Linked DNA regions of Callithrix jacchus. The protein of the gene in region 2 interacts with the protein of the main gene of each other region in a pairwise test. Links are inferred from orthologs where the notes say so. Each region holds a gene or a part of one and is shown on either strand. Other genes may lie near its edges.

What was found.
Region 1: the proteins of KIFC3 (region 2) and USP2 interact in binary tests that used the Homo sapiens proteins (3 or more experiments, as listed by UniProt). The two-hybrid records come from large-scale screens. The link is inferred for Callithrix jacchus from reciprocal best matches to the Homo sapiens genes KIFC3 and USP2.
Region 3: the proteins of KIFC3 (region 2) and CCHCR1 interact in binary tests that used the Homo sapiens proteins (3 or more experiments, as listed by UniProt). The link is inferred for Callithrix jacchus from reciprocal best matches to the Homo sapiens genes KIFC3 and CCHCR1.
Region 4: the proteins of KIFC3 (region 2) and SOX5 interact in binary tests that used the Homo sapiens proteins (3 or more experiments, as listed by UniProt). The two-hybrid records come from large-scale screens. The link is inferred for Callithrix jacchus from reciprocal best matches to the Homo sapiens genes KIFC3 and SOX5.
Region 5: the proteins of KIFC3 (region 2) and NECAB2 interact in binary tests that used the Homo sapiens proteins (3 or more experiments, as listed by UniProt). The two-hybrid records come from large-scale screens. The link is inferred for Callithrix jacchus from reciprocal best matches to the Homo sapiens genes KIFC3 and NECAB2.
Region 6: the proteins of KIFC3 (region 2) and MID2 interact in binary tests that used the Homo sapiens proteins (3 or more experiments, as listed by UniProt). The two-hybrid records come from large-scale screens. The link is inferred for Callithrix jacchus from reciprocal best matches to the Homo sapiens genes KIFC3 and MID2.
Region 7: the proteins of KIFC3 (region 2) and KANSL1 interact in binary tests that used the Homo sapiens proteins (3 or more experiments, as listed by UniProt). The two-hybrid records come from large-scale screens. The link is inferred for Callithrix jacchus from reciprocal best matches to the Homo sapiens genes KIFC3 and KANSL1.

Annotation. Positions count from the first base shown.
Region 1 is NC_133511.1:19,030,766-19,035,065, reverse strand, and holds the start of USP2 (ubiquitin carboxyl-terminal hydrolase 2), read left to right. Parts: upstream 1-1,500; 5' UTR 1,501-1,683; exon of another isoform or gene 1,684-1,694; intron 1,695-2,323; exon of another isoform or gene 2,324-2,434; 5' UTR 2,435-2,689; exon of another isoform or gene 2,690-4,300. UniProt on the Homo sapiens protein: Hydrolase that deubiquitinates polyubiquitinated target proteins such as MDM2, MDM4 and CCND1. Isoform 1 and isoform 4 possess both ubiquitin-specific peptidase and isopeptidase activities.
Region 2 is NC_133521.1:15,650,106-15,653,605, forward strand, and holds part of KIFC3 (kinesin-like protein KIFC3), read right to left. Parts: intron 2,425-3,500; coding exon 2,243-2,424; intron 1,025-2,242; coding exon 920-1,024; intron 1-919. UniProt on the Homo sapiens protein: Minus-end microtubule-dependent motor protein. Involved in apically targeted transport. Required for zonula adherens maintenance.
Region 3 is NC_133505.1:35,964,447-35,967,946, reverse strand, and holds part of CCHCR1 (coiled-coil alpha-helical rod protein 1), read left to right. Parts: intron 1-146; coding exon 147-192; intron 193-356; coding exon 357-493; intron 494-585; coding exon 586-774; intron 775-871; coding exon 872-973; intron 974-1,063; coding exon of another isoform or gene 1,064-1,167; exon of another isoform or gene 1,168-1,261; intron 1,262-2,683; coding exon 2,684-2,835; intron 2,836-2,959; coding exon 2,960-3,131; intron 3,132-3,355; coding exon 3,356-3,480; 3' UTR 3,481-3,500. UniProt on the Homo sapiens protein: May be a regulator of keratinocyte proliferation or differentiation.
Region 4 is NC_133510.1:47,292,599-47,296,624, forward strand, and holds the start of SOX5 (transcription factor SOX-5), read left to right. Parts: upstream 1-1,226; 5' UTR 1,227-4,026.
Region 5 is NC_133521.1:41,654,596-41,658,095, forward strand, and holds part of NECAB2 (N-terminal EF-hand calcium-binding protein 2), read left to right. Parts: intron 1-310; coding exon 311-388; intron 389-1,445; coding exon 1,446-1,537; intron 1,538-2,022; exon of another isoform or gene 2,023-2,024; coding exon of another isoform or gene 2,025-2,053; exon of another isoform or gene 2,054-3,500. UniProt on the Homo sapiens protein: May act as a signaling scaffold protein that senses intracellular calcium.
Region 6 is NC_133524.1:104,457,732-104,461,231, reverse strand, and holds part of MID2 (putative E3 ubiquitin-protein ligase MID2), read right to left. Parts: intron 1,744-3,500; coding exon 1,616-1,743; intron 756-1,615; coding exon 522-755; intron 1-521. UniProt on the Homo sapiens protein: E3 ubiquitin ligase that plays a role in microtubule stabilization. Mediates the 'Lys-48'-linked polyubiquitination of LRRK2 to drive its localization to microtubules and its proteasomal degradation in neurons.
Region 7 is NC_133506.1:86,974,678-86,978,877, reverse strand, and holds the start of KANSL1 (KAT8 regulatory NSL complex subunit 1), read left to right. Parts: upstream 1-1,400; 5' UTR 1,401-1,445; intron 1,446-2,991; 5' UTR 2,992-3,129; intron 3,130-4,200. UniProt on the Homo sapiens protein: Non-catalytic component of the NSL histone acetyltransferase complex, a multiprotein complex that mediates histone H4 acetylation at 'Lys-5'- and 'Lys-8' (H4K5ac and H4K8ac) at transcription start sites and promotes transcription initiation.

The DNA.
Region 1 (4,300 bases), on a different chromosome or scaffold from region 2:
GAATGTTACCTTCTCTGAAGACACCTCCTCCTTGCTTAATGTGCCCCCATAGCTCTTAGCACCATCTAAGGTATTACATACTCTACTTATTTATTGTCCTGCTTCTACTAGAATGTAAGCTCCCTGAGGGCAGGGATTGTTCCTGTTTTGTTCCCTGCTATATCCCCACTTTCTAGAAGAGTGACTGGCATGTCCAATATCGATCTGTAAAATGAAATGATGAAATGAGGGCCCTAAGGAAATATAACATGGTAAAACTCCGTCTCCCGTCTCTACTAAATACAAAAAAATTAGCTGGGGCTAGGCACAGTGGTTCATGCCTGTAATCCCAGTACTTTGGGGTTGCCAAGTCAGGTGGATCACCTGAGGTCAGGAGTTCAAGATCAGCCTGACCGACATGGTGAAAACCCATCTCTACTAAAATTACAAAAATTAGCCAGGTGTGGTGGTGAGGGCCTGTAATCCCAGCTACTTGGGAGGCTGAGGCAGGAGAATCACTCGAACCCGGAGGTTGCAGTAAGCCGAGATTGCGCCATTGCACTCCAGCCTGGATCTTAGGCAACAAGAATGACAATCTGTCTCAAACAAAAAAAAAACGGTTGAAATCAAGAAGGGAATGATGGTCCTGGATAATAATAGGGGTGCCTCTTTCACTGCTCCTGGTAAGAATGGAGTCAGACATGTTCGTAGGTAGAAATTTAAGTATTCCCCTCCTGATCGAGTCTGATTTCTCCGGGAAATAGAAGAGAAGGAAGGACTTGAGGAGAGTAGCGATGGAGAGAGAGCTCTATTGTGAAGATGGAAGGAGTTAAGGGCACCCGCAAGGACTGATGGAATAGCTGAAGTTGAAAACCTGATTTGCCTTTGTACCCACCTACCTGGTGGGGCGGTTTTCCTCATCAACATCGGGGAAGTGGAGATAAAATTACATAAAATGAATGGGAGTGGCAAAAATTCAAATTTTGTCTCGGCTTTTTCTTCAAAGACCAAAGAGAATTCCTTCCATCGACTCAGTGCCTTCGTGTACCCATTCAGGCACTCATCACTAATTCCTGGTCTCGCGGAAGTAAAATGAGCGGAGAGTATCTTTGAGAGTTGAGAAAAAAAAGAAGAGGCTGAGGAAAGGGACCTCCCCCAGCCCGGTGAGAAGGGGAGTAGGAGACGTTTAGCCTTCCCTAAAAACTGTAAGTTGATAGGCCCCGGCTCAAGTTCCGAGCCTTCTTCCATGACCCCTCTCCTTTCCCAATAGCTTCCAGCTGCCCCGTCGTGTGACATTCCAGTCCACCTCTGTTCCTGCTCCACCCGCTCCAAACTCGCGTGCTGTTCCTCCACGTGGTTCTCTGTGTATATCGGTTGCCTGGGAGACCCCAGCCGGGCCGGGTTGTAGTGACACCATAATAGGAACAAGCCAATACCCGTGACGCGTCTCAGTGACGCGAGACGCGGGGTGTGGCTCTGCCGGCTCAGGAATGATGAGGCGGCTGTCCGCTGGGTGGCGCCGATTTCCCGCGGAGGTCCCTTCTGGGCCCCCGGCTGAGGTGGGGGAGAGACAGGCAGGAGCAGAGGCCGGGGAGTCCTCTGCGTCAGCTGCTGCTCACTGCGCCTTGCCAGCGCCAGCCGGGTCTCACCAGCAGCTCCATGCTTGTGCCCGGTTCGACTCGTCCATCCTCCAATAAGAGGCAGGTAAGTGCCACCTGTCGGGGATCCGGGAGGGAGGATTCGGGGATCAGTGCCGGTTTGGGGCTCAGAAAGTAAGGTGTCCATGACAGCCTGGGCAGAATGGGCACTAGAAATACAGGGCGAGAGTCGGCTGTGCAGGGGCGCTCCAGCTGTGGCTGCCAATTGTGTGGGGGCTGCCTGCTGAAACCCAGGGTGCCAGGAAGAGCCATCTGTGTGCTGATCAGTGTATTCTAAGGAAATGCTGCCTCGGCGGGTCCTCCTTGCTGTGCCCTGTGTATATCGGTGGTCTGTGGCCCGAGAGTGACACGGACAAACCCCCTCCCCACGTGTGCTTGCAGCTCACTCGCTGCTCTTAAAGCTCCCGGGGCTGTAGCTTGTCAGATCGTCAAAGGGGGTTGGGGGCTGGTGGGGGGCAACAATTAAGCGGAAGGCAAGATTTTCCACCAATCCCAAACCAGAAAGAGGCAGCTTTGAAATTCTCACCAATCCCAAACCAGAAGCAGGCACGCGGTGCACCGAAGAGAGCAACTTCTTAACAGTCAAGGAAAGCCCTAGCCAACCCATTCTAGCCCTTCCCTGAAGAGTGAACGTCCTGACCGGGCTGCTTTTAGAATGGGACTGAGCTGGAAGTAGTGCTGCTCACCTCCCCTGGAACGAACATGGGAACATCCCCCAGATGGACCCCTGTAAAGCGGAGGAAAGGAGAGCTGATTGGGCTAAGGTCGAGGCAGGCCCCCCTCTTTTGATGCTGCAGATGCACGTCAGACTGAAGTCAGAATGAGGACTGGAATGAGGTGCATCATCAGGACCTGGGCTGAGTCAGTAGCCTGTGCTAAGACAGGGTGGAGGCACCAGCCTGGGTACTCCCAGTCCTCAGGGAGAGCCACTGAGAAACGTCCTGAGAGCAGACAAGTGCACCAAGGCCAGAGAGGCTAAGAACGCTGTTCCTTCCTCTTGTGACCCCACCCAGCCCGGCTCTGTGACCCTGGAATCCTAAGCCCTCGCACAGGTAGAGTGGAACCACCCCGGAGGGGCCAGGCATTCTCCTGGTGGCCCGGGGGAAGCTGCGCTTGCTGTATTTTTCTAGGCAAAGGGGGAAGAAGCCCAAATGGGCTTGGCCTTTCTCTGCTTGGTGGACTGGACATCTAGGAAGATGGCAAGCCTTGTTTGCCCTTCCCAGTTATGGGACATGGTCAGTTCAGAAAACCATGGAACTGTTCTCTGGCATTAGAAAGGAACACTTCCCCAGATGTAACCTTCCTTTTCTCCCTAGGAAGGTTCACCTGGTAAGGTACTATTACTAATAATACCATTAATTATAATAATAAGTGGAAGTATTCAATATCATCATCATCATTTATTGAACTCTTATGATGTGCCAGGAAATTTACAAATATTATTTTATTTAATCCTCACAATATAGACCATTATTAAATTCCTGTTTTGCAGATTCATAGCTAAGGTTTAGAGAACGTAAGTGACTTCTTCACTATTTCAGAGCCAATAAAGGAAAGAACTAGCATCCAAGCCCAGGCCTAGAAGTCCATTAGAAAAGGATATTGGACTGAAACCTGAGTACAGTCCCCTTTCTGCTTCTCACTATCTGTACATGCCCTTGAGCAAGCTGCTTGCTTTCTCTAGGTCTACTCTGTTTCAAAATTAGAGTGGGATTAGCGGTATGGCTTCTTCCTGTCTCTAATTCTGTGACTGACTGCTCCAGAAAATCCACTTTCTCTGTATTTTTGCCTCAAGTTCTACCCCCACCCCTCCACGATCTTCTCAGTCCTCTGTCTCCTCTTGAATCTCCGGATTGTTCCCCTTCAAAACACCCCCCTTCCAAGAGTCCTCACAGACCTCCTTGGCTGGCACTGGCCCGAAAGGGCAGCCCCTCCAGGGTGGGCATGCCACTGCCCCTTTAATTCTCCCAGGCTTGGAATGTAAGTGAGTTGCACTTGCCATTTCTGCGAGTCTGCGAGGTCAGATAAGATACTATATATATCGGAGTCAGTAACCTGAGCTCCGGATTACCCAGCCTGGAGTCAGGCTCCAGCTTCTGGGCTTTCCACTGCATACCCTGCCCTGCTGGGGAAGAAGAAGCCCCCAAGTCCCATCCAGTGCCCCTGGACACAGGTCAGTAGCTGCCTCTTTGGTATCTGAGCTTCTCTGGGACTCTATCGAGAGGAAAGACATCAGTGAATCTGGGAGAGCATGTGAAGGCCGCCCCACTGGGCCTGGTGGGTATCAGGGCCAAGACCAAAGGCCCCCCCCAGAGGCTGAGAACAGAGGAAAGACGAGGCCCTAGAGGAGACGGAAGGAGACTGGGGCTCTCCCCTGGGGAGGGAACACCAGAAGAGTACCTGGGCAGAGGTGGTTGGAAAAGAGAACTTAAGGATCCCAATACTTCCTGGAGGCCCATTTCTTTACCTTGTCTTGGAAGTGTAGAGATGCCCACTCACTCACAACCCCAAATCAAGGTGCACCCTATGGAGACTGCCCTGGGCCCACCCACTTCTTCACCAGTCAAGATTCTTGCCTTATTCTCTAATCTCTTTATCTTATCTCCTTCTCTCCCCCAGCTCTTGGGTAACTACTGGGAGCAGGAGAAAGAGAAATGGACCCA
Region 2 (3,500 bases):
CAGATATGCTTGAGGACAGAAGCTCTGATGTTCCCAGGGGTCACCTCAACACTAAGCAACTCCAAAACAGACCTGGGAGCCCAGGGGGCGCTGCACACACCCCCTTCCTCCTCCCGCCTGGCCTGGCCTACCCCCACTAATGAGTCTCACCAGTCCCAGAATCAAGGGAACAGCAGAGTCCAGATGGGAAATGGAGGGCCGCCATGGCAGGCCCCCACCCAGCAGGCCCACCCAGCCCTTACCCCTGTCTAGAGGCCGGGCACCTGGCCTCCTCCCCACCTGGGGAATCCCACTGCACCCCTCAAGAGCCAGGGCTAGCTTTACACTGCCCTCTAACCACAGTCAAGCACCTTCCTAGTCTCAACACCCCCCTCCCTGGCCGGCCACCTGCTCCACTACACCTCGGAGGGTGCAGGCGACCAGCAGGGAGAGGAAGGTGTGGCCTGGCCCCAGGGGCCGCCAGCAAGAGCTGGGCTCCCCACAACAGCCTTCACATTGCCAGTCTTGCCCTGGGATCTCCTTGAGGACTGAGACCCACCCCTCATCTCAGAGTCCCCAGGCCCGGCCCGAGCCAGCTGTAAAGCAGGAGCATGCAGTGCACACGTAAAATGTAGCCCAGTCGTGAGAGGCAGGTACCCTGCCCTGGTCTCTGTCCCCAGGCCGAGATCCCTGTGATGAAAGTCCCCCCTTGCCTCTCCCCCAGTCCTGCTGGGTGCATCACAGGTGCCTTGGGCAAGGGGGCCCCCCATCTTCAGGCCTGGTGCCTCGGGGCTAACATGGATAATGACAGCCTCTGCTTCTGGGTTGTGAGGACCAAATGAGGCAAAACACACATTGTATAAAACCCCAAGACCAGTGAGGGAGGCTGCATTCCCTTCACACTTCACTGTGAACCCCATCCCGTCGGGCAGGCACCTACCTCCATTGTGTACGTTTTGCCGGCCCCTGTCTGGCCATATGCGAAGATGCAGACGTTGAAACCGTCGATGCAAGAGGTGATCAGGGCCTGCACTTCCTGGAACACCTGGGAGGGTGGTGGGAAGGAGGCTGGGGGACTTCCAGGGCCAGGGGGACCAGGGCCCCCCACCAGCTGCAAGTCCAGCCACCTCCCCAACAATGTTATCCTTCAGCAATACCACAGCATGTGTTACTGCAGTCACTCAGTTCAATGATTCATGACTCATGAGTCATACATTAGACATCAGTGGGCAACTGGGCTGCCCAAAGATAACAGGGAAGAAGACAGGCCAGCTCCTCCTGTTCCCTCTCTCAAAGAGCGCTCAGCACAAGGAAGGCAGAGGCCAGCACATGCCTGGTGCCTCTCTGGCCTGGGCCTGCCTGCCAGCCACCAGAGAATCGGAGCAAAGGTAGAACCAGACATGAGCACAGGAGGGCACAGGCATGGCAGGTTGGCCTGGGCAGATAAGGGAAGAGTGGACGCTGAGAACACATGATTCTTATGCAGCCTGGGGGGTTAGGGGGATCCCTAGGAAGGCGCAGGGGACTGATACAGGAGGGTACTCCTGCATGGAGATGGGCAGGGTCATGAAGATGGGTGGGGCCATGTGGGTGGGCAGTCACAGGCATGAGGGAGAGGGGCTGTGATGCTGGGAGGGGCCTGAAGGTGGGTGAGGCCATATGGTGGGAGGGTGGGAGTGGCACATGGTAGGAGGGGTGAGACAGGCCATGCAGATGGGAGGAGCCACAGCCATGAGGGTGGGATGGGCTGTGATGGTAGGAGGGGCCTTGAGAGTACGTAGGGCCACACAGTAGAAGGGGCCATGTGGATAGGAGGAAACACAGCCATGGTGGTGGGAGGGACTGTGGGTGGAGCCATGTGGTAGAAGGGGGTGTGGATATAGGAGGGGCCACATGGTAGGAGGAGCCACAGCAGAGAGAATGGGATGGCTTATGATAGTGGGAAGGGCCTTGAGGGTAGGTGGGGCCACACAGAGGGTGGGGCCACACAGTGGAAGGGGCCATAGGGATAGGAGGAACCACAGCCATGGGAAGAGTTGGGCTGTGTCTGGAGCTCTCCTTCCTAAGCAGGCTTCCAAGACCTTTGGTCTTAACTTCCCACCCTCTTCTGTCCTCCAGAGGAAGGAGCCAGAACCTGGCTTCCCACTTTGTATTCCTGCACCCCCTACTCTTGCACTTCTTCCTGCCCAGCCCCTCTCCCTCCATGTGAGTCCATCTTTCCCTCCCTCCACTGCTTTCCCGTCCCTCACGGGGCTACACTCACGTCCTGCTGTGAGGCCTGTGGGGAGAAGACCTTGTCCAGCTCGAAGGACACAGGCTTGCCCTTGTGCAGCAGGTGGATAATGGAGTCATCATCGGCATCAAAAGTCACAGCATTGGTGGCCTCGGGTCCTTCCCCGTCCTCTTTGGTGACTGGCCGGACACGAGCAATCACTCGGATGTTCCCTGGGTTGGTTGGGGATAGATGGAGAGATGGGCCCAGGCCGTGTCAAGACCAGTCTCCACTCTGGTCCACTGGTCTGTCCCAGGCAGACTCGTTAGCCTAGGAGTCCCCCAACTTTTAAGCATAGTCCCCTAGGGGAAGGAGGCCCAAAAAGCTGTTATCAGTCACTCACACTATAGTATGAATTCACTTAGTACATTTTCTTCCTGAACAGACCAGGTGACAGGGGTGGCACTCTGCCTTGGGGATGGGGTGGAAAAGTCAGTTGTGGGGCTCAGGCACTGCACCCAGTCAGGGTGAGACACCAGGACAGACACTGTCTTTTTCTCCCTGGACTTCAGTTTCTTAGACAATGAGGGGCTTGGGCCTGAAAGAGCAAAAAGTCTTGTCCTGAATGGCAGGACAGGGCTTGGGAATCAGATGGGCATAGAGGCCTAGGCAGCAGCTGATGACTGGCAGAGTATCTGAGGGCCCAGATAGTGGGGCAGCCACAGGGGTGTCTGGTGGCATGAGCTAGTAATGCCACCATCTACTTCCAGCCTTCGTTGTGTTCCTGGAATGAAGAGGAAACGCCCCCCACCACCAGCATGGTCCACCCGCCCTCCCGCTTCGCCTATCCATTCCAGCTCACAGTCCAGGTCTCAGCTCTAAATTTGCCTTCTCTGGGAAGCCCCTCAACATACATGACTGTCACATACCCAGGAGCCTGTCTCAGCTCTGGAAGTGGGCAGGGTTGGGGTTCCTGACAATTAATCATCATTGTCTATTCTCACACCAAAATGAGCACGGGGAAGCAGTCTGTGGGGCTGTGACCGTAGCCTTGACTGTAGCCTCGGGCTGGAACAGCCCCTGGCTCAGAGCAGGTGCACTAGAGCTCCATGCAGTGAATGGTAGAGTCTCAAGCTTCACCAGGCCCCAGGTCAGAACAAGTAGCATTCCAGCCACTCCTTACCCAGTGCTGCAATACCACACCCCTTGGCCACCCAGGGCCTCGGGAGTCACCTGCTCGGGCATTGGGGCCGGGGCTTCTGAGCTGGACAGACCCAAGTTCAAATCCAAGGCAGAACATTTACTAGCC
Region 3 (3,500 bases), on a different chromosome or scaffold from region 2:
TCCTTCTTCCTGGCCCAGCTCTCTGATCCCATATCATCCACCTTCTTCTTTTCACCAGTCCTTTCATCTCTTTTTCCCTTACTCCCCAGTCCCCCACTTTCTCCCATGCAAACTTCATGTGTTTCTCCCTGCCTTTTCCCTCCTAGGCCTGATGGCTCGAAAGCTCGCTGTTGCTCGGTTGCGCCAGGAGAGGTGAAGTTTGTGCACTTTGAGGATGGGGCTTTAGGGTGGGGTGGATGGGGCTTTAGGGCATTGGCTGCTGGGACCCCTAAAACAATGAGGACTGAGGCGGGATGGGGGCTTAGGGGTCAGGAAGCTGGGTGACTTCTCCTGACTCTTTCTCGTTCCCATCCCAGCTGTCCCCTACCCCCACCCGTCACAGACGAGAGCCTTGAGTTGCAGCAGCTTCGTGAAGAACGGAACCGCCTGGATGCAGAACTGCAGCTGAGCGCCCGCCTCATCCAGCAGGAGGTGGGCCGGGCTCGGGAGCAAGGTACACCTGGTTGCCAGGGGGTGAAGAGGATGAAGGATGACCTGGCATCCAGGGTGCCAGGAGAGGCCTGAGCCAGCACCCCCTCCTTTTAGGGGAGGCAGAGCGCCAGCAGCTGAGCAAGGTGGCCCAGCAGCTGGAGCAGGAGCTGCAGCAGACCCAGGAGTCCCTGGCTAGCTTGGGACTACAGCTGGACGTGGCACGCCAGGGCCAGCAGGAGAGCACAAAGGAGGCTGCCAATCTGCGGCAGGAGCTGACCCAGCAGCAGGAACTCTATGGGCAAGGTGTCCAGAGGGGAAAGGGGTGCTTCCCTTGGAGGGTGGAATGGGAACTGCAAATCAAAGTTCCTGCTGATACGCCCCATCTTCACCTTCACCCCAGCCCTGCAAGAGAAGGTGGCTGAAGTGGAAACTCGGCTTCGGGAGCAACTCTCGGACACAGAGAGGAGGCTGAACGAGGCTCGGAGGGAGCATGCCAAGGCCGGTGAGCTTTGCCAGGGTGGATAGGGCTTTCCAGGAAGAAGGAAGTGTTCAGACATAAGGTTATTATTTCCCCCTCAACGTTTTTTCAAAGCTTCATTACAGGAGGTAATGAAGGTATCCAGGAATGACACAGATGAATTCTCACATCATAAACACACCCATGTAGCCTGCACCAGATTAAGAAACAGCATATGAGGCCGGACGCGGTGGCTCACGCCTGTAATCCCAGCACTTTGGGAGGCCGAGGCGGGTGGATCACGAGGTCAAGAGATCAAGACCATCCTGGTCAACAAGGTGAAACCCCGTCTCTACTAAAAATACAAAAATTAGCTGGGCATGGTGGTGTGCGCCTATAGTCCCAGCTACTCGGGAGGCTGAGGCAGGAGAATTGCTTGAACCCAGGAGGCGGGGGTTGCAGTGAACCGAGATCGCGCCATTGCACTCCAGCCTGGGTAACAAGAGCGAAACTCTGTCTCAAAAAAAAAAAAAAAAAAGAAACAGCATATGATCAGCTTAGGACCCCCACTTCCATACCCCTTCCAGTCATACCTCTTTACAGAGGACACCACCTTTCAGATGTCTAACACCAGCAATTACCCTCTAGCAAAAATTTCTCACACCTGAACAAGTTAAAAGAATTGGGACCAGCACTTTGGGAGACCAAGTTGGGAGGATTGCTTGAGTTCAGGAGTTCCAGATCAGCCTGGGCAACATAGTGAGACCCCATCTCTTAAAAGAAATACAAAAATTAGCCAGGCATGGTGGTAGGCACCTGTAGTCCCAGCTTACTTGAGAGGCTGGTGCGGGAGGATCATGTGAACCTGGGAAGTTGAGGCTGCAGCCAGCCAAGATTGTGCCACTGCACTCCAGCCTGGGCAATAGAGGAAGACCCTGTGTCAAAAAAAGAATTGTGTGATGAATATTCATATATCTTCTCTAACTGTAGCGGTTAACATTTGCCACATTTGATCTCTTACCTATATATATATACATATTTATACACTTTTTTGAATCACTTAAAGTAAGTTGTAATCATTTAATGTTTTTCTTTGTTTTGTTTTGAGATGGAGTCTTGCACTGTCACTCAGGATGGAGTACAATGTAATCTTGGCTCACTGCAAACTCCTGGGTTCAATCGATTCTCCTCCCTCATCCTCCAGAGTAGCTGTGATTCCAGGCGCCCACCACCACACCTGGCTTTTTGTATTTTTAGTAGAGACGGGGTTTCACTATGTTGGTTATGTTGGTCATGAACTCCTGACCTTGTGATCCGCCTGCCTCAGCCTCCCAAAGGGCTGGGATTACAGGTGTGAGCCACTGTGCCCGGTGTAATCATTTAACGTTTTAAGTAAGCTGTAAATATAAGTCATTCAGCTGGATCTCCCAAAACCAGTGAATTATCCTATATAGCTATCATCACACTTTAAGAAATGAACACTAATTGCACAAAATCTAACCCAGTCTATATTCAGATTTCTCCTGAGGAACTCCAGGATGGATCAGGGATGAGGAAGGTACTTAGGTTCACAGATTCCCAGGCTCCTGGAGCATCAGCTCACTCCTCCAACTGTACAGAAGAGACAGATCCACAGAGCAAAACAGCCTTCCCAAGACAGAGCTGGTGACCCAGTGTTCGTTCCTGTTTTCGTGGTGCCTGGCTGCCTCTGGGCTGACTCACACCTGCCCCCTCTGTGCCCCAACCTCTCTGCAGTGGTCTCCTTGCGCCAGATCCAGCGCAAAGCTGCCCAGGAAAAGGAGCGGAGCCAGGAGCTCAGGCGTCTGCAGGAAGAGGCCCGGAAGGAGGAGGGGCAGCGACTGGCCCGGCGCCTGCAGGAGCTAGAGAGGGATAAGAACCTCATGCTGGTAGGAGACAGGATTACAGGGACTAGGGCCCATCCTGGGCTGGTTCCCGGGCTAGAGGTGTAGAAAGAGGATGGTGGGGGAGGCTCTACCCGGGCTAGGTGGCATTTAACCCTCTCCTTCCCAGGCCACCTTGCAGCAGGAGGGTCTCCTCTCCCATTACAAGCAGCAGCGACTATTGGCAGTTATTCCTTCCCTACTGGATAAGAAGAAATCTGTGGTGTCCAGCAGCAGGCCTCTAGGGTGTTCAGCATCTGTACCTGTAGCAGCAGCAGTGCCCACCAAGGAGTCTATAAAAGGTCTTGGCCCAAGCATAAAGGGACAAGGGATAAATGGGGACACTTCAGGAATCTCTACTCCAGACTCTTGCATGATGAGTGTTGTTCTCTGTGATCCTTCCAGGCTCTTAGCCTCTTAGCCATGCCCTGCTTGGACCAAATGGCCTCCTCCCTCTTAGTTTCCCTTATGTCCTGTGCCAGCCCTATTTCCTCCTCTGGTGCTCATCCCCTATCTTCTTTCCCAGGGTCCCTCTCGGTCCTACTCGATGACCTACAGGGCCTGAGTGAGGCCATTTCCAAAGAGGAAGCTATTTGTCAAGGACATGACCTCGATAGATGCTCCAGCTCCAATCCCCAGAAGAGCAGCTAAGCAGCTGAGAACTGGAGGGA
Region 4 (4,026 bases), on a different chromosome or scaffold from region 2:
TCCTCTAAATTGTTTTAGTGGTCAGACATTGACTTGTCAAAGGTTGTGCTTAAGCATGTTCAGCCAAGAGGACTTCCATCCTTTGCTGATGGATCAGCGTTCGCATTGAGAAACACATTGAAAAAGTTCGGGTAGTTTATGAAGCTGCCCTGTCTTTTACTTTCTTCACATATAAGACATTACATTCAGGCAAATCTGAGTAGATAACTAGGATTCTCTCCACCACCTTATGCTGATGTTTACAGCCTTCCCAACCCCAGGATATGTGCACGTTTATCACGGCCCACTGTGTCTGGTGCTTTCTTCAGATCTCGCTATAAAATTTCTGACTGTAGGCAGGTCCACTGCTTATCTCCAGTATTGTAATCTCAGGCAAGCTGTGATAGTGCCCTTCTCTGACTGTTGGCCACCTAGGATTGCTATTGTTTTTGACAACAGCTCAGGACATGGGCCTTTCCAAGCTCAGCTCAAAATTGTTTCTTCTCTGTCTGTTAGGAAAGCTGGTATCCCTTACAATTTGCTATGTCCTGGTAGAAATAGAGCAATGAAGAGAATGGGGCTGGTGAATAAGGTAGAAACTAAAGGATGCAATGCCACAGACTCTTACTGTTCTTCTGAAGCTTAATAGATTTTCTCGAATAAATATTTCACCATTTTTTTCTATGCCTTTCATCAATTTTTAGATCTGAAATGGTTGTTTGGGACAGTTATGCAGCTTTATCTTTGCTTTGTGAGAAAATGTGCTGAATTCTCCATGTGGCCATTCAAGAAGGCTCTCCTTCAACATTTTTAATGTGAAATTTGTATGACATAAAATTAGGCATTTTAAAGTGTACAATTCAGAGGCATAGTCATTCACAAGGTTGTACAATCACCACTTCTGTGTGGTTCCAAAACAGTTTAATTACCCCAAAAGAATATCCCATACTTATTAAGCAGTCACTCTTATTTTCTCTTACCATTAGACAGACCCTGGCAACACAAATCTTCTTTTTGCCCTGTGAATATACCTGTTCTTTATATTTCATATAAATAGAATAATACAGAACAGGTAAATTCATAGGACATGCTTACATCACATGCTTCTTTCACTTAGCTTATTGCTTTGGAAGCACATACACGTTGTAACATGTATTAGTAATTCACTTCTTTTCATGGTGAAGTAATAATCCATTGTGCATGTAGGACAGGTTTTATTCATCCACACACTTGCTGATGGATATTGGGGTTATTTTCATCTTCTGTCTCTTATGAATAGTGCTACTATGAAGACTTACATACAGGTATTTTTATTTTTGAGTGCCTATTTTTAGCAGAATTGCTGAGTAATTCTATGTTTAACTTTCTGAGGACCCACCAAACTATTTTCCACGGTACATCTATCATCTTACATTCCCACCAGCAATGTGTAAGTGTTTCAGTTTCTTCACAGGCTCACCAACGTGAATTTTTCTAATTTTTATGATTATAGTTACCCTACTAGGTATAAAACAATATCTCATTGTGGTTTTGGTTTACAGTTTCCCAATGACTAATGTTGAACATCTTTCCCATCTTCAGCTTTTAAGCTGGAATCACATAACAATACAAGGATTAGATTTCAGGTCCCTGGAATTTAAGTGTAGTAGCCTTTCCTCAGTACAACAGTATCTTCTACTACATGTTACATTATGTCATTTGATTTCCTAAATTTTCTTTGTCTTTGTTAAATATACCCACACAGCTGATAATGCAGTTCTATCCTTATTAAATTAAATGAGTCATTCTAACAACCAAAATGAATTGAGAAAATAGTTTTGTCTGTGTATTTATAGACTTATATTCCATAAAGTGAACTGAGATATATCCCAAGGTAAGATGTATTAAAGGAGATTTCACGGTTGAAAACTTCACATTGGTCTTTGTTCCATTAGAGGTTTAACCTGATACTGAAAATGTCCACTTCCGTATCCAGACCTGAAAAACTTTTGTAGGTGAATAATGTGTAACTACTATGAGCCCGGTGTTAGCTTTTGCTATTATTACTATCCTTGTTAATGTGAATTCTAAAATAAAATTGGATCCCTTTTAGGACTCAAATTTTTTTTTTGTTAATTGAGAGAGTCTTGCTCTGTTACCCAGGCCAGGATGCAGTGGCGTGATGATAGTTCACTACAGCCTCCAACTCCTGGTCTCAAACAATCCTCCCACCTTAATCTTTCAAGTAGTGAGGACTACAAACCCCCACTAGTTTTTAAAAGTGTTTTGTAGACACAGTATCATATATAGCTTAGGCTGGTCTCAAAACTTCTGACCTCAGGTGATCCTTCTGATTTTGGCCTCCCATAGTACTGGGATTATAGTCATGAGTCACTGCGCTCATCCCGGTTACTATTTTAATCATTAATGTTAGGAAGGAGACATGAATGGCTGCTTCACAAATTATTTATGAAATGTTAACTTTTTAGTAGTTGGTTTGCTTACAACGTATTAAACAAAAAGCACTTTTTTTCATCAGTATTTACATTCGTAGTCTTTCTTGCTAAATGTCAAATGTATATATTTAAATATCACATCCTCTGTTTCATTTACTATGTGACTAATAAAAACTTAATAGACACGAATTATTGTCAAATTTGCCAAGAAAAGACTCTCACAAATCTTATTAGTTTTTAACATTCTGTTCATTTTGGAGCATACAATGTATCCCCAGCAGGGACTTGCTTGGAAGCACCAGGGACTTCTTGGAAGAAAATATAGTTGGCAGATCTTGGGTCAACCATAATCATCCCTTGCAAAGACTGATTCTGGACATACTGTAGGTAATAGTCATATTTTTATACTGTCAGGATTTATGTCACTCTGTGATCCAACTGTTCTAGCCATTTTGTCTATCAAATTATGGCCATCTACTGAGAGGAACACAGTTAAAAGGAATGGCCTGTGTGTAACACAGATGTGAGAAGTGACCTAACATTTGTAGGGAAGGACAAGTAATTGTATCGCAAGGGAATTATGGGGAATATGTTGAGAAGCGTGTCTGGAGGAAAAAGCGGTGATTAGGTCATCAAGGTCCCTGACTGCCACACTAAGGAATTTAGACATGATTCTGGGGATAATGGGAAGCTGTTGAAGGGTTTATGGAGGTAAGTCCATTATTTTGTGTACCATTTTTCATCTTAAAAAGCTCTCTTGCCAGCAAGAGTGAAACTTGGTCTCAAAAAAAAAAAAAAAAAATGTGAAGATGGACCAGATGAAAATAAGACAGAGACTATGTAAGAGAATAATGCAACTGTGGGGACAGATGCCATAATCTGTTGCTCAGTGTTATGGTCTTAATTTGTCAAGACCTATTTTCCTTCCCTTTTATATTTTCACTCCCTCCTTCTCTCCCATTTCTATCTCTCTCTCTCTCTCTCTTTTTTTTATACAGTCTCACTCTGTTACCCAGCCTGGAGTGCAGTGGTGCAGTCTCGGCTCACTGCAACCTCCACTTTGCAGGTTCAAGCAATTCTCATGCTTCAGCCTCCCAGGTAGCTAGGATTACAGGTGCCTGCCACCACACCTAGCTAATTTTTGTACTTTTAGTAGAAATGAGGTTCCACCATTTTGGCCAGGCTGGTCTCAAACTCCTGACCTCAGGTGATCTACCTGCCTCGCCCTCCCAAAGTGCTGGTATTACAGGCATGAGCCACAGCACCTGCCCCTTTTATTCCTCTTATTTAGAATTATATTGTGGTTAATAATGGCACTATCTCTTTATATACTTGCAAATCAAATTAATGTTCATTTAATAAGACGTTTCCGTTTGTATTTGAATATTTTCTCTTTCTAAAGTTGAGGCATTTCTGATTGTGGTTTAACACGCTGTCTTAGTCTGTTCAAGCTTTGGAACAAACTACCATAGACTAGGTAGTTTGAATAATGGAAATTTATTTCTTACAGTTCTGGAGGCTGGAACTCTGAGATCAGGTACCAGCATGATTGGGTTCTAGTGAGAGTCCTCTTAAGTGTTGCAGACTGCCAGCTTTTTGTATCCTCACACTG
Region 5 (3,500 bases), about 26 Mb from region 2:
GACAGTTTTTGAATTTGCCAGGCCTAGAGTCCCAGCTACCTCTGAGGCTGAAGTGGGATCCTGCCCCTGCTCTCCAGCTTGGGCAACAGGCTGAAAAGAAAGCAAAGTCCCTTTCTTCTGATCCTGGAAGCTCTTGTTGGTGACCCCAACCCCCTGAGTCTTAGGGCATCTCAGAGCTGGGCTCTAGGGTCACGATGAGGAGGAAGAAAGGTTGAAGGCAGCCATTGGGTCTGGGGTCCTCAGGGTCCTGGAAGGGAGCAGTGGGGGGGAGGGCACGCTTAAGTACAGGCTTTCCCGTCTCATATTGCAGCATCGCTGCCGTGAGGCTCTCAGACGGCTTTACCTTTGTTGTCTACGAGTTCTGGGAGACGGAGGAAGAGTGGAAGAGGTGAGTGTGGCAGGCGATGGGGAAGCCCGGGTGGGGGATGGCCGGCTGCCCGGGCCCCTCTCCTGGAGCCAAGCAGCCCAGTCCAGCACGCAGAGTCACAAGGCATCTCCCAACGCAAACGCATGTCTATTCACTCCTCTGCACGTAGGAGTCCTCGGGGGGATAGTAAAACCCCCCAGTGCACCCAGTTGGGCTCTTTAAATGCAGGTGCCCAGGGAGCCCAGCTGAGGATCTACCCCCCCACAGCTGCTGCCTTGGGGTGTTGAGAAAACTGCTGGGCTAAGGGTTGAAATCCCATTCCCGGCCCCATCCAGGTCAGGCGCCCTCCCGATTCTCCCCATTTCCTCCCTGCCCATCCCTGGGGCTGCCTTATTTAATACCATGTGGAGGGAGGGCTCGACACAGAAGGTAATCCAGGCCCCAGGTGATCTGCAGTGCCAGCGATGAACCTCCCCTCCAGCTCAGTGGGTGGGGGATGGTAGAGGAAGTCATCAGCTCTGATGGGTTTTGGGGTCCTATGTGCTGCTCAGAGAACACAGCTAGGGCCGCTTGTTCCCTCCCTGGATAGACTTGTTTCTCACATGCTGGACCTCACAGGCAGGAAGAGGGATCAGGGAGAAGCTCATGCCCCTGCTACCTGCTTCCCCGGTAAACACTCAGGGTTTGCTGACAAATTGAGGACCCCGGTGGGAGCAGGGGCATCTCCTCCCTGTCTGTACTTCAGGGACTCATAAAATGAGGGCCTGAAACCCTTCCCAGCTTTCATGTTGTCATCTGTCCTGGGTAGAGGTGGCCCCACTCCTCCTAGGGTAAAGTCAGAGTGAGGGGCGCTGTGCACTCATGAGCGGGGTACCTGCAGCACCTGCAAGGCTCACAGGGGCAAGAAAATCTCCCTACCTACCCCAGAGATACCCACATTCAGCCTCCCTTCTTACAAATGCTCTGAGTCTAAAGATTCCCCCCACGATGATGGATAAGGTCCTGCTCCTGGGCACAGCAAGCATCAACGGGCTCCACTCCCGGACCCCCTTGACTAACTTGCGTCCCTGGGTGGCAGGCACCTGCAGAGCCCCGTGTGCAAGGCGTTCCGGCATGTCAAGGTGGACACGCTAAGCCAGCCCGAGGCCCTCTCCAGGATCTCAGTGCCAGGTAGGAGACGAAGGCCTAGAACCACTGTGGCCACCTGCGTAGAGAGAACGGGAAACAGCACCAGAGGCTGCCCCTGCCGACTGCAGCCTTCCCTGCTTGCTGCTGGGAGGACCTGTGGGTCACTGCTAGGTGTGCAGAGAGCCCTGAGGGAGGACAGCGTCCAGGTCACAGACAGCTCTGAGGGGCCCCACCTGCAGCAGCTGTGGATGCCAGAGCTTCCCCTGGAGCACGTCCAGCCAGACTGAATGTGCCTTCCCGGGACTGTAGTTCACACCCGGGTGACCAGTGAGCACCCGTGCACCATGGCCAGCCCTAGCAGAGCTCTGAGTTGCCAGACGCAGGAAGGGCTTTTCTGCCTTGCAGCTACCAGGGAAGCAGATGTTTCCCCAGGGAGCTGGGGAGGGAGACATACCAGCACCTGCCCTTCCAGATGAGCACCACCAGCTAGGAGGCTGCTCAGTGCTCTACCGTCTCTCTCTCCTTCTAGCTGCCTGGTGTACAGTGGGACGGGACTGACCGCCTCCCAGAGGCCCCTTCTTCTTGTAAAGGTCATCCCCTGTTTACTAGAAACTTTGGTGCAGAAGTTGTCTTTCCAATGTATCCTCCACAAAAAGGTGTTTCCCTGCTGGGAAGGGAAGGCCTCCCCCGCCCCCCAGCTGAGCTGGCAGAGCAGCACCTATGTTGCCAGGGTCCTGCTGCAGCAAAAGGTGGTCAGTGACAGGGGCGGCTTCCTGGAGCCAGCATCCCACCTCCTGATCTCCCCCCGCCCCTCAAAGAGCCACGCATGACCCATGCTCACCATGCCCTGCCTTCGGCCTTCCTCATGTCCTCATGGTCAGGACTCAGTGCTGCCCTCTTCAGTGCCATTCTTCTACCTGGTAGGAGCCACGACCCTGTAGTACCCAACCTAGCCAGGCAGCCACCACGGGGCCCAGGCACCAAATAAACCCTGGTTGGGAAGGGCGGTGTGCTATGTCTGTTTCCTGGTTGACAGTGGTGGGGGGTAGGGCCGTGTGAAACCTTCAAGTACCCACAGCCTCAGGGACACTTTAACCAATGGGCTAATTCCTATTCTGTAGCTCCCAGGGCACCACAACCACCCTCAGGACCCAAAGCACTGGGCACAGCTGTCACAGGGTGAATGACAGCCACAAACCAGCAAAGGAAGGGGCTGCACTGAAGTCTCCCAGCTTCAACAGGGACAGAAGCTCACCAAGCAGGGATGCGTTCCCCCGTCTTACTGGGCTGTGGTGACGTAGACAGGGCTGACACCCACAGAGCTAACACCTCCTAGCTCAAGGCCCCCCCATAAATCACATGGCGTGACACTCTAAGAGCCTGTGACTCCTTCCCTGCACGCATTAGCCATTCAACAAAGCAGGAGCCCATGACTGTCAACTGGAAATAATGTCTTCAGTCTTATTCTGGAAGCTTTGTAACTTCTTCCTATTTCTCAGGCCTGGTTAGCAGGAAAAGTTAGACACGGCCAGGTACAGTGGCTCATGCCTGTAATCCCAGCACTTTGGGAGACCGAGGTGGGTAGACCACTTGACGTCAGGAGTTTGAGACCAGCCTGACCAAAACAGAGAAACCTCGTTTCTACTAAACATAAAAATTAGCCAGGTATGGTGGCAGGTGCTTGTAGTCCCAGCCATGCAGGAAGCTGAGGCAGAAAAATTGCTTGAACCTGCGAGGCGGAGGCTGCAATGACCCAAGATCACGCCACTTAACCCTAGGCAACAGAGCAAGACTGTCTCAGAAAAAAAGACACACAAAAGTTCAAAGGGCAAGTAGAGAGTGGTGGGTCTCCTCCTAAGACCAGGCAGAGCCAAGCATTGCAGGCCCGGGACACAGGTGGGAGCTGCAGGGTGCAGGACCCAGAAGGGGTACCTTTCTACCTCCTGCCCCAAGCCTGGGGGAGCACAGAGGGCTGGCCAGTGACACGGTGATTATTAACACTGTC
Region 6 (3,500 bases), on a different chromosome or scaffold from region 2:
CTCCAGTTCATCAAAAGATGAAACCATAACATGTGAACTAAACAACAGCTTTGTTAACTTCTTTTATTTTGTGGCCCACTGACATGTTTTCATATTTAGCATAATTCTTGGTGGAAAAGAAGAAGTAAAGGGAAGAGTGACAGAGGCAGGAGGCTTGTCGCCATATTCACTGAGGTACGTTTGGTAAAGGAAAAGTCTTTGATGTATTTTACCATGATAATGAAGTGGCAGAAGAGTCAAGGAGAGAGATGTTCACACACACAGAACCAGCAATGATGGTGGCTTAGCTACCCTGGAACAAGTACCAAGTGGTACTCTCCTTGGGAAAGTGGAATGACATGGATTAATTGAGGAAAGGCTAAGGACTACATAAATGAATGAGAATGGCCCCAATAACTGCCCAGCAAGGAAATATACAACTTGCTTGTTACCCATTGTAAGGTCTTTGTAATGCCCTGGGAAGCTTACACTGTCTATGAAACACTATACTAAACAACCTAACATGTCTTACAAACACTTGCCTCGTGGCGCCCCGGCCAATCTTGAGCAGCTTACTGCTTCCTTACATTTCCTTATCTCTGGCCACAGGCCCCAACTACACCATGACTTACTGATGAAGTTAGCCTGGCCAGTGAATATGGTGTACTGAAGCTCATAGGAGCTGATGCTGAACTCATCATCCGAGATCCAGTGGACTGTAATGGTGTCATGGGAGGCAGTACAGAGTTCTTCTCGGATAGATGGTGGGTTTGGGGCTGTAAGGAAAGGTGGAAAAGAAAGTAAGGAAAGCACAGTCTCTTTTGGAATTTTACAATTGTTACTCTTCCTGCCTAACCCAACATCTCTTGAAGAGGTGGTTTTCTTAACAGAGAAGCTTTAGATTGCATGAACCATGCAACGTGAAGCAAAATGCTGAGACCTCAAGCTCCCTAAAACCACTTTTGCTACAACAACGAAAATATTTTAGGCAAAGCTATAAACCTAAACCTAAATTTTTGTCATGATTGCCCCAGCTGTCTAGTCACCCATATAAATACTTATGTAGACATTAAAGTGATTATATGGTTTTCTTAACATATGGTCTTCAACTTACTGTTATTTTTAATTTCAGAATGAGTTTTATTATATATATATTTTAGACATAAATCTCTCTATATATATATTTTAGATTTAGATTTTATTTATATATATATGTATATATCTTACATTTTTCATATATATATGTATATATATATATATATATGTATATATCTTACATTTTTCTTCCTGATCTGCTAATTCCTGACCTTCCCTAAAACCATTTGGGTTTACTCTCTTAACAAGAAACAATACATTCCTTTTAGATTCATAAGGACAAATCTATCAGCAATTTCTTGTGTTTTACTCTTAAGTATAGATGGTATACCCATTCCGACCCTAGAAATAGTTAACAAATCATAAATCATCTTTCTTTTCGGTTACATGAACTAAAATATGTTTTGTCTGAAATTTTACATGCATCATTTTAAAAATTATAAAACATTTTCATTATATTGTCCTTTTCAAATTATTTTTAAGTAAAAGCATACCAGAAGAAAAAACAATAAATGGGAAGGAAGGCACAGTATTTTCACACCTGTTAAATAATCTAGCCCCTCTAGCAGTTTCTTTTCTCTGGAAAAATCTAAAGCAAAGTTTTCAAAGGCATCATTAAAATTGATGTCTGGAATCAGAACTTGAGAAGATGCAGTTGCCATAGCGACCCTGAAAAAGAGAAAAGTACATCAATATACATCAAAATAGGTTGTAACCTTCACCCAGTGTTTGATTTCTGGTTTAACAAGGTGAAAATAAATGACTTGTAAGACTTGATTTATTAAGTGAAAATATCATATCTGCCTTTCCAATGGAAACCATTTAAATTTTAATCATCAGGAACCAATGAAGAGTTATACCATATTTATTCACATATGTTTACCCCTCAAACACACTCCCCCATCCGGTCTTAATTTTGAGAAGTAAATACAGGATTTTTTCCTCTCTGCATCATTTTCCATCTGGCAAGCAGCATCAAAACTTGACCTTTAAAGGCTTGGTAAGAACAGTTTGAAAGATATTTTTCTTTTTTGTTTATGCTAGTCAGCAAGCCAGCATGCTAGGTTAACACCTTCCCTAAATATATCCTTTATGTGATTTTTTTTTTTGAGAAGGAGTCTTGCTCTGTCACCCAGGCTGGAGTGCAGTGGTGCCATCTCAGCTCAGTACAATCTCCACCTCCCTGACCCCCTTCCAGGTTCAAGCGATTCTCATGTCTCAGCCTCCCTAGCTGGGATTACAGGCACCCGCCAGCAAGCCCAGTTAATTTTTGTATTTTTAGTAGAGGCGGGATTTCGCCATGCTGGTCAGGCTGGTCTCAAACTCCTGACCTCACGTGATCCATCCGCCTCAGCCTCCCAAAGTGCTGGGATTAAAGGCATGAGCCACTGTACCCAGCCTATGTGATCTTCTATAATATTTATATTTCACTTTATTATCCTCCAATTGTATAGTGCTATGATAGTTTTATCTTCCCAACTAATTCTAAGAGTCTCAAGAGCAGGGTTCACATTTTGTACCCCTTAATATCTTCCATAGCCCCAACACAGCGTTTAACACATAGTGAAAGAATAATTGATGAATGAACAATTGAATGACTAAAAACAAAATAACTGCTAACATTTGTTGAGTGCTTAGTATATACAATGCACTGTGCATTCACTTTACATAAATTATCTAATTTATTCTTTACCATAACCCTATGTAGTAGACGTTATTTTCATTTTGCAAATGAGAAAGTTGACACATTGAAATGCTAAGTAACTTGTGCAAGATCACACAACCAGTAAGAGTCAGAAATATAACTGAGCCCATGTCCATCTAATTCTAAATTTTATACCCTTAACCATTTAGACTGTTCATTTCTTCAGAAAATTGAGGTATATTTTCCATACTAAAGCTATTCTTAGCCATTGTTACACATCAGAATTATCTGGAGGAATTTTGCAAAACTCCACACGTTTTAGTTCTGTGCCAGATCTTCTAAATTAGAACCAGTGAAGATCCTTGAACCTGTAAATGATGGTGTGGAAAGAAAAAATTACTTGGCAACAATATGTAGGTTAGAGGAGAGAGAAAAGGTGTTATATGTAGGAAGACCAGAGAGGAAACTTTTATAGTGAACTAGTTGTAAAGGGAATGAGGAACTGAAAAATACATATCCTTATGTACATATACACTACTACACATCTACCAATACATCTCTTGTTTCTGAAATTACAGATGTTTCAGGGATAAACTACAGGCCAAATGAAAGACTAGCTCAATACAATCATTAGGTCTCACATTGAATAGCCAGTCTTCCAGGATTTGGTGAGTAAGGAGACAATAACCTGTAACAGTTAATCCAGAAAATTAGCTCATCAAATTTCTTTCTGGCCTTTCCAATCTTCTTTATTTCCTCTATCCATCTATCCAATATTTAC
Region 7 (4,200 bases), on a different chromosome or scaffold from region 2:
TTAAGAAAGTCCCTTAATTTTCATGTCTCTTCAATATTCTGTGTCTCTTACTTCACTAACCTTCTTTTTCACCCTCCTGCCTTTTATTATGGGTGTCTTATTACACTTGTATGGGACTTTATCCTTTAGCATGTCCATGTAATAGACCACTATCTTTTTTTTTTTTTTTTTTTTTGAGACGGAGTTTCGCTCTTGTTACCCGGGCTGGAGTGCAATGGCGCAATCTCGGCTGACCACAACCTCTGCCTCCTGGGTTCAGGCAATTCTCCTGCCTCAGCCTCCTGAGTAGCTGGGATTACAGGCACACGCCACCACGCCCAGCTAATTTTTTGTATTTTTAGTAGAGACGGAGTTTCACCATGTTGACCAGGATGGTCTCGATCTCTTGAGCTCGTGTTCCATCTGCCTTGGCCTCCCAAACTGCTGGGATTACAGGCTTGAGCCACCGCGCCTGGCCCAGACCACTATCTTTAGGCAGAGAACCCTATATCTTCTTTAGTCCCTATTGTCTACCCTCTCTCAAGTCCCATAATTTCAGTTGCCTCTGGGACACCTTCACTGGCTTTTATCTGGAACTGTTATCTGGAACTGAACATATTGAAAACTAAGGTTCCTCCCCAAATCTGAGGGTTGCGCCAATTTCCCTGGCCAATTGTCTCGTCTATCCCCTGGTTTTACGATCATATTTTAACATTTAAATCGATTAATTTCTTAAAATTGGAACCTTGATGAATGTTACAGAAATCAATGGATACAAAGGATATGCCGCGAGATGTTAAGTTTTCCTTCCATGGGTTCCCCAGGCACTCAGTTCCCCTCCCAGGAGGTAACCACTGTTGCCAGCTCTTAAGAGTGATTTTTGATTCCTCCTTTTACCAGCTCTGTCTCAAGTCCTTCTCTGTCTGTGAGACGTGTGCTCTTTCCTTTCCAGGCCCTAGTGAACTGATAACTGGTTGAGTTTATATATTGAGTATATATATGTGTATTTTTATATACATATATACCATCTCTCCCTATGGCCTTCCGGCCTGGAGTTTTCATCACGTCGCTTCCTGGATGAAGGAACCTAGAGGGGTGAGGGGCAGGGGTTGGGGGTAATGGAGAAGAGGACCTAAAGGGGACTTAGGTAGGGGGTCCAGAGTGGCCGACTGGCGTGACGCTCTGCCGGGATAACTATTCCTCCCACCTCAGGCCCCCTTCCAGTCTTCTCATCTAAAAGCCTCTCGTTTCCAAGAGCCGAGGCAGAGACAGAGACAGAGAGATACACAGAGACAGAGACGCCAAGGCACCAGCATCCCTCTCACCCTTCTGTCCCGCCCCATCGCTCTGACGGACACTACCCTTCAGCCAATGGCGCCCACGATGTGCCCTGGAAGGGCCTATGAGCACCAGAGGAGGGCGGAAGATTCCCCGCCCCCACTTCTAGGCTTGGTTGAGCCGTGCAGGTAGGTCCGGGGCTGGGGGAGCCGCCGTTGGCACTGGTGCCCCTGGGGGTGGGGGCACGAGTGGGTAGGGGTGATGGTGAGGCAGAGGAGTCGGCCCCGACCCGGGGAGTCCGAGGGAGCGGCCCGGCTGGGAGGCCAGGGGCCGAGGGGTCCGGGGAGCGGGCGCCGCCAAGGGCCCTGGAAGCGGCGGGGCTGGGGGAGCGGGGACGCGTGTGTGGGGCACGGGGACCCCCGCCTGGCGCCCATTCGTAGGCCTGGGCCGCGGGCTGCAGGCAGAGTGGCCCGGGGGCCTGGCTGCCCGGGGGGCGGGCCGGGGCCGTGGCCGGGGGTGCGGAGCGGAGCTAGGGGCGCCAGGCCGAGTCGAGGTGGGACGGACCGACGCTGAGAGGAAGGGAAGCGCATCCCGCGGGCCGCCCCTCCTGAAGCGAGCGGGGCAACGGCCGCGGGCGCTCCTGCCCTGAGCCCACCTCGCGCTCCCCCGTCCCTAACAATGGGAATGGGGCAGAAGGAGGTGTCCCGCTGCGGGGAGGTGAGAGGTAGGTTTGGGACTGGGGTCCGCCGTGGGGGGAGGTGCGACCTCGGGCTCTCGCCTCTCGGCTCCAGCTGGCTCTGGAGGTGGGGCCCCGGTGGGGCTCTGAAGCCCGCCTGAGACTTGGGTCAAGAGTCAAACTGCCACCCCCTCCCCCCTAAAATCCGGTGAGCGGTAAGGAAAGTGATGCCAAGTCTTCGAAGCCGAAGTGACAAACGCATAGCAAGAACACATCCACTCCAGAGGGGTGTTTATTTTTTATGTTTATGTTTATTTTTATTTTTAAAAAGGGTACTTTTCGACATTTATTTTTAACGAGGTGGGTGCTGTTATTTTTGTCCCTACGCGGGCAAGCCTCCATTTTAAGCGAAGCAGTAGTAACTGGTTAAGCTGGAATTGTATTCAGGCCTAGGACTTGAACAGGGATTCTATCGGAGGTCATTTAGTCCATCCTCCTGCCTCCAGGCAAATTTACCTTCCTCCCACCCTCAAAATTAAGTTGTTGGTTTTGTTTTTAATGATCTCTGGGGAAGAAGGGTCTTATTATTTGTTTCTAGTACTTCAGTCAAGAATAGCTTTTACTTTTAATGTGGAATTGACTCTGAAACTTAAGCATAATCTTAGACAGGACGATCAGAGAGATTTTACTTTACTAAATACAATTAAATGTTGCAAGGGTCTTTTTTTTAGATGTTAGTTAGCAAATCACCTTTCAATAGTGTTTATGAAGTACACTGGAAATTACTTTATTCTCTCTAGGATTTGGGCTAATTGATAAACGATTTTACATCATCTAAAATATGTGTTACATATTTATTTCTCTTTTTATGTAAAGTATGTTTCTACACATATATACAGAGACACAAACACATTTGCCCTTTTCTAGAGGGGACTGTATTTTGTATACTTTTTTAGTATGGTGAGGCAAATAGTACTTCAAAATCCCTGCCCAGGTAGCTTAAACTATTTGCATTTTCTTGATTATTTTTTAGTCTAAATGAAAGTCCTCTCTTTCAGATACCTTCTCAAAACAAAAGATTTTCCTACCTGCTCATACTTGGTGACTTGAGGGAATTACTAAGACTTCTTGTTCATTTCTGAGTGTTGCCTTAACTATATCCTGACACTATGAATGCTATTTGGATGCCTCCTAAGGTAAGATGTATTTTTTTCATTACCAGCTTCATTTTATTCCGAATTGGGAATATAATTTTTGAATTTGCTGTTCTTCAGTGCCTTTACATGACATTTCTCTTGCCTCTTGTGTTTGCTTCCTAGGATTGATTGGCTATACTTGTCGCTTCTTGATTTTCTTTGTATTGCTACTGTTTGATAATTGGTGTGAACATTTTAATGACATTCTCAAATTAACTTCCATTATAACGAAAGGCTGTGATCTTTTTAACTTTAAATTATGGCAACCTACATAGTTGTGAAATTGTGTTCTAATCTTAGGATGGGCTGGCAATTCAGACATCTAGGTCCACTTTTCAAACAGGTACTTTAGAGTCACAGGTACTTGGGTGTGTCCCACTCTTGCAAATCAGTAGCTGATTCATGTGTTACAAAAGTTGTGTCATTAACCATTTGTTTACTCTGAAACTTCATGTGGTATATTAGAGCTTTCTAAGACCTGCTGGTTTACATGTATGACTCTTTTCAGAGTCCTCCTGCTGCACCCTATCCCTTTGTGCAACATTTCACACTTTTTCTTAACAGGTAGCACTTACGCCAAGTTTTATCTCACAGGGTAAACCTCATTTGGACAGTGTGGACAGATGACCTTTAAATGAAAAAGCTCCCATTGATGTTGTGGTTCTCTAGTCTCTTTGGCTCGTCTAATCTCTTGTACATAGATGGCCAAATAATTCTCGATTAGGACAAGCAAAGGGCAGAGCTTAAGACTTAAGTAGGTGGCTTCTTTGATTTTCTTGTGAGTAAAAATACATTTAAAAGATGAAATTAAATAAAAACAAAAAAGACGTAGGGAGGGAGGAAGGACAGAGAAGGATAAGGAGTCTTGGAAACCCTCCACCAGATTTGCCTTTCTTCAGAGTTAGGTACTAGCTTCATTAAGATGGTTGTGTGCTAATCTGCTCTGTGGACTTCTAGATTAATGCAGAGGAGAAATAAAACAATAGTGTTGTCTGTGTAACCTAAATATCTGGACTTGTGGGAAATCTTAGGTAATGTAGACTGAGTTCTCATCTTCATTTATGTTTCAGC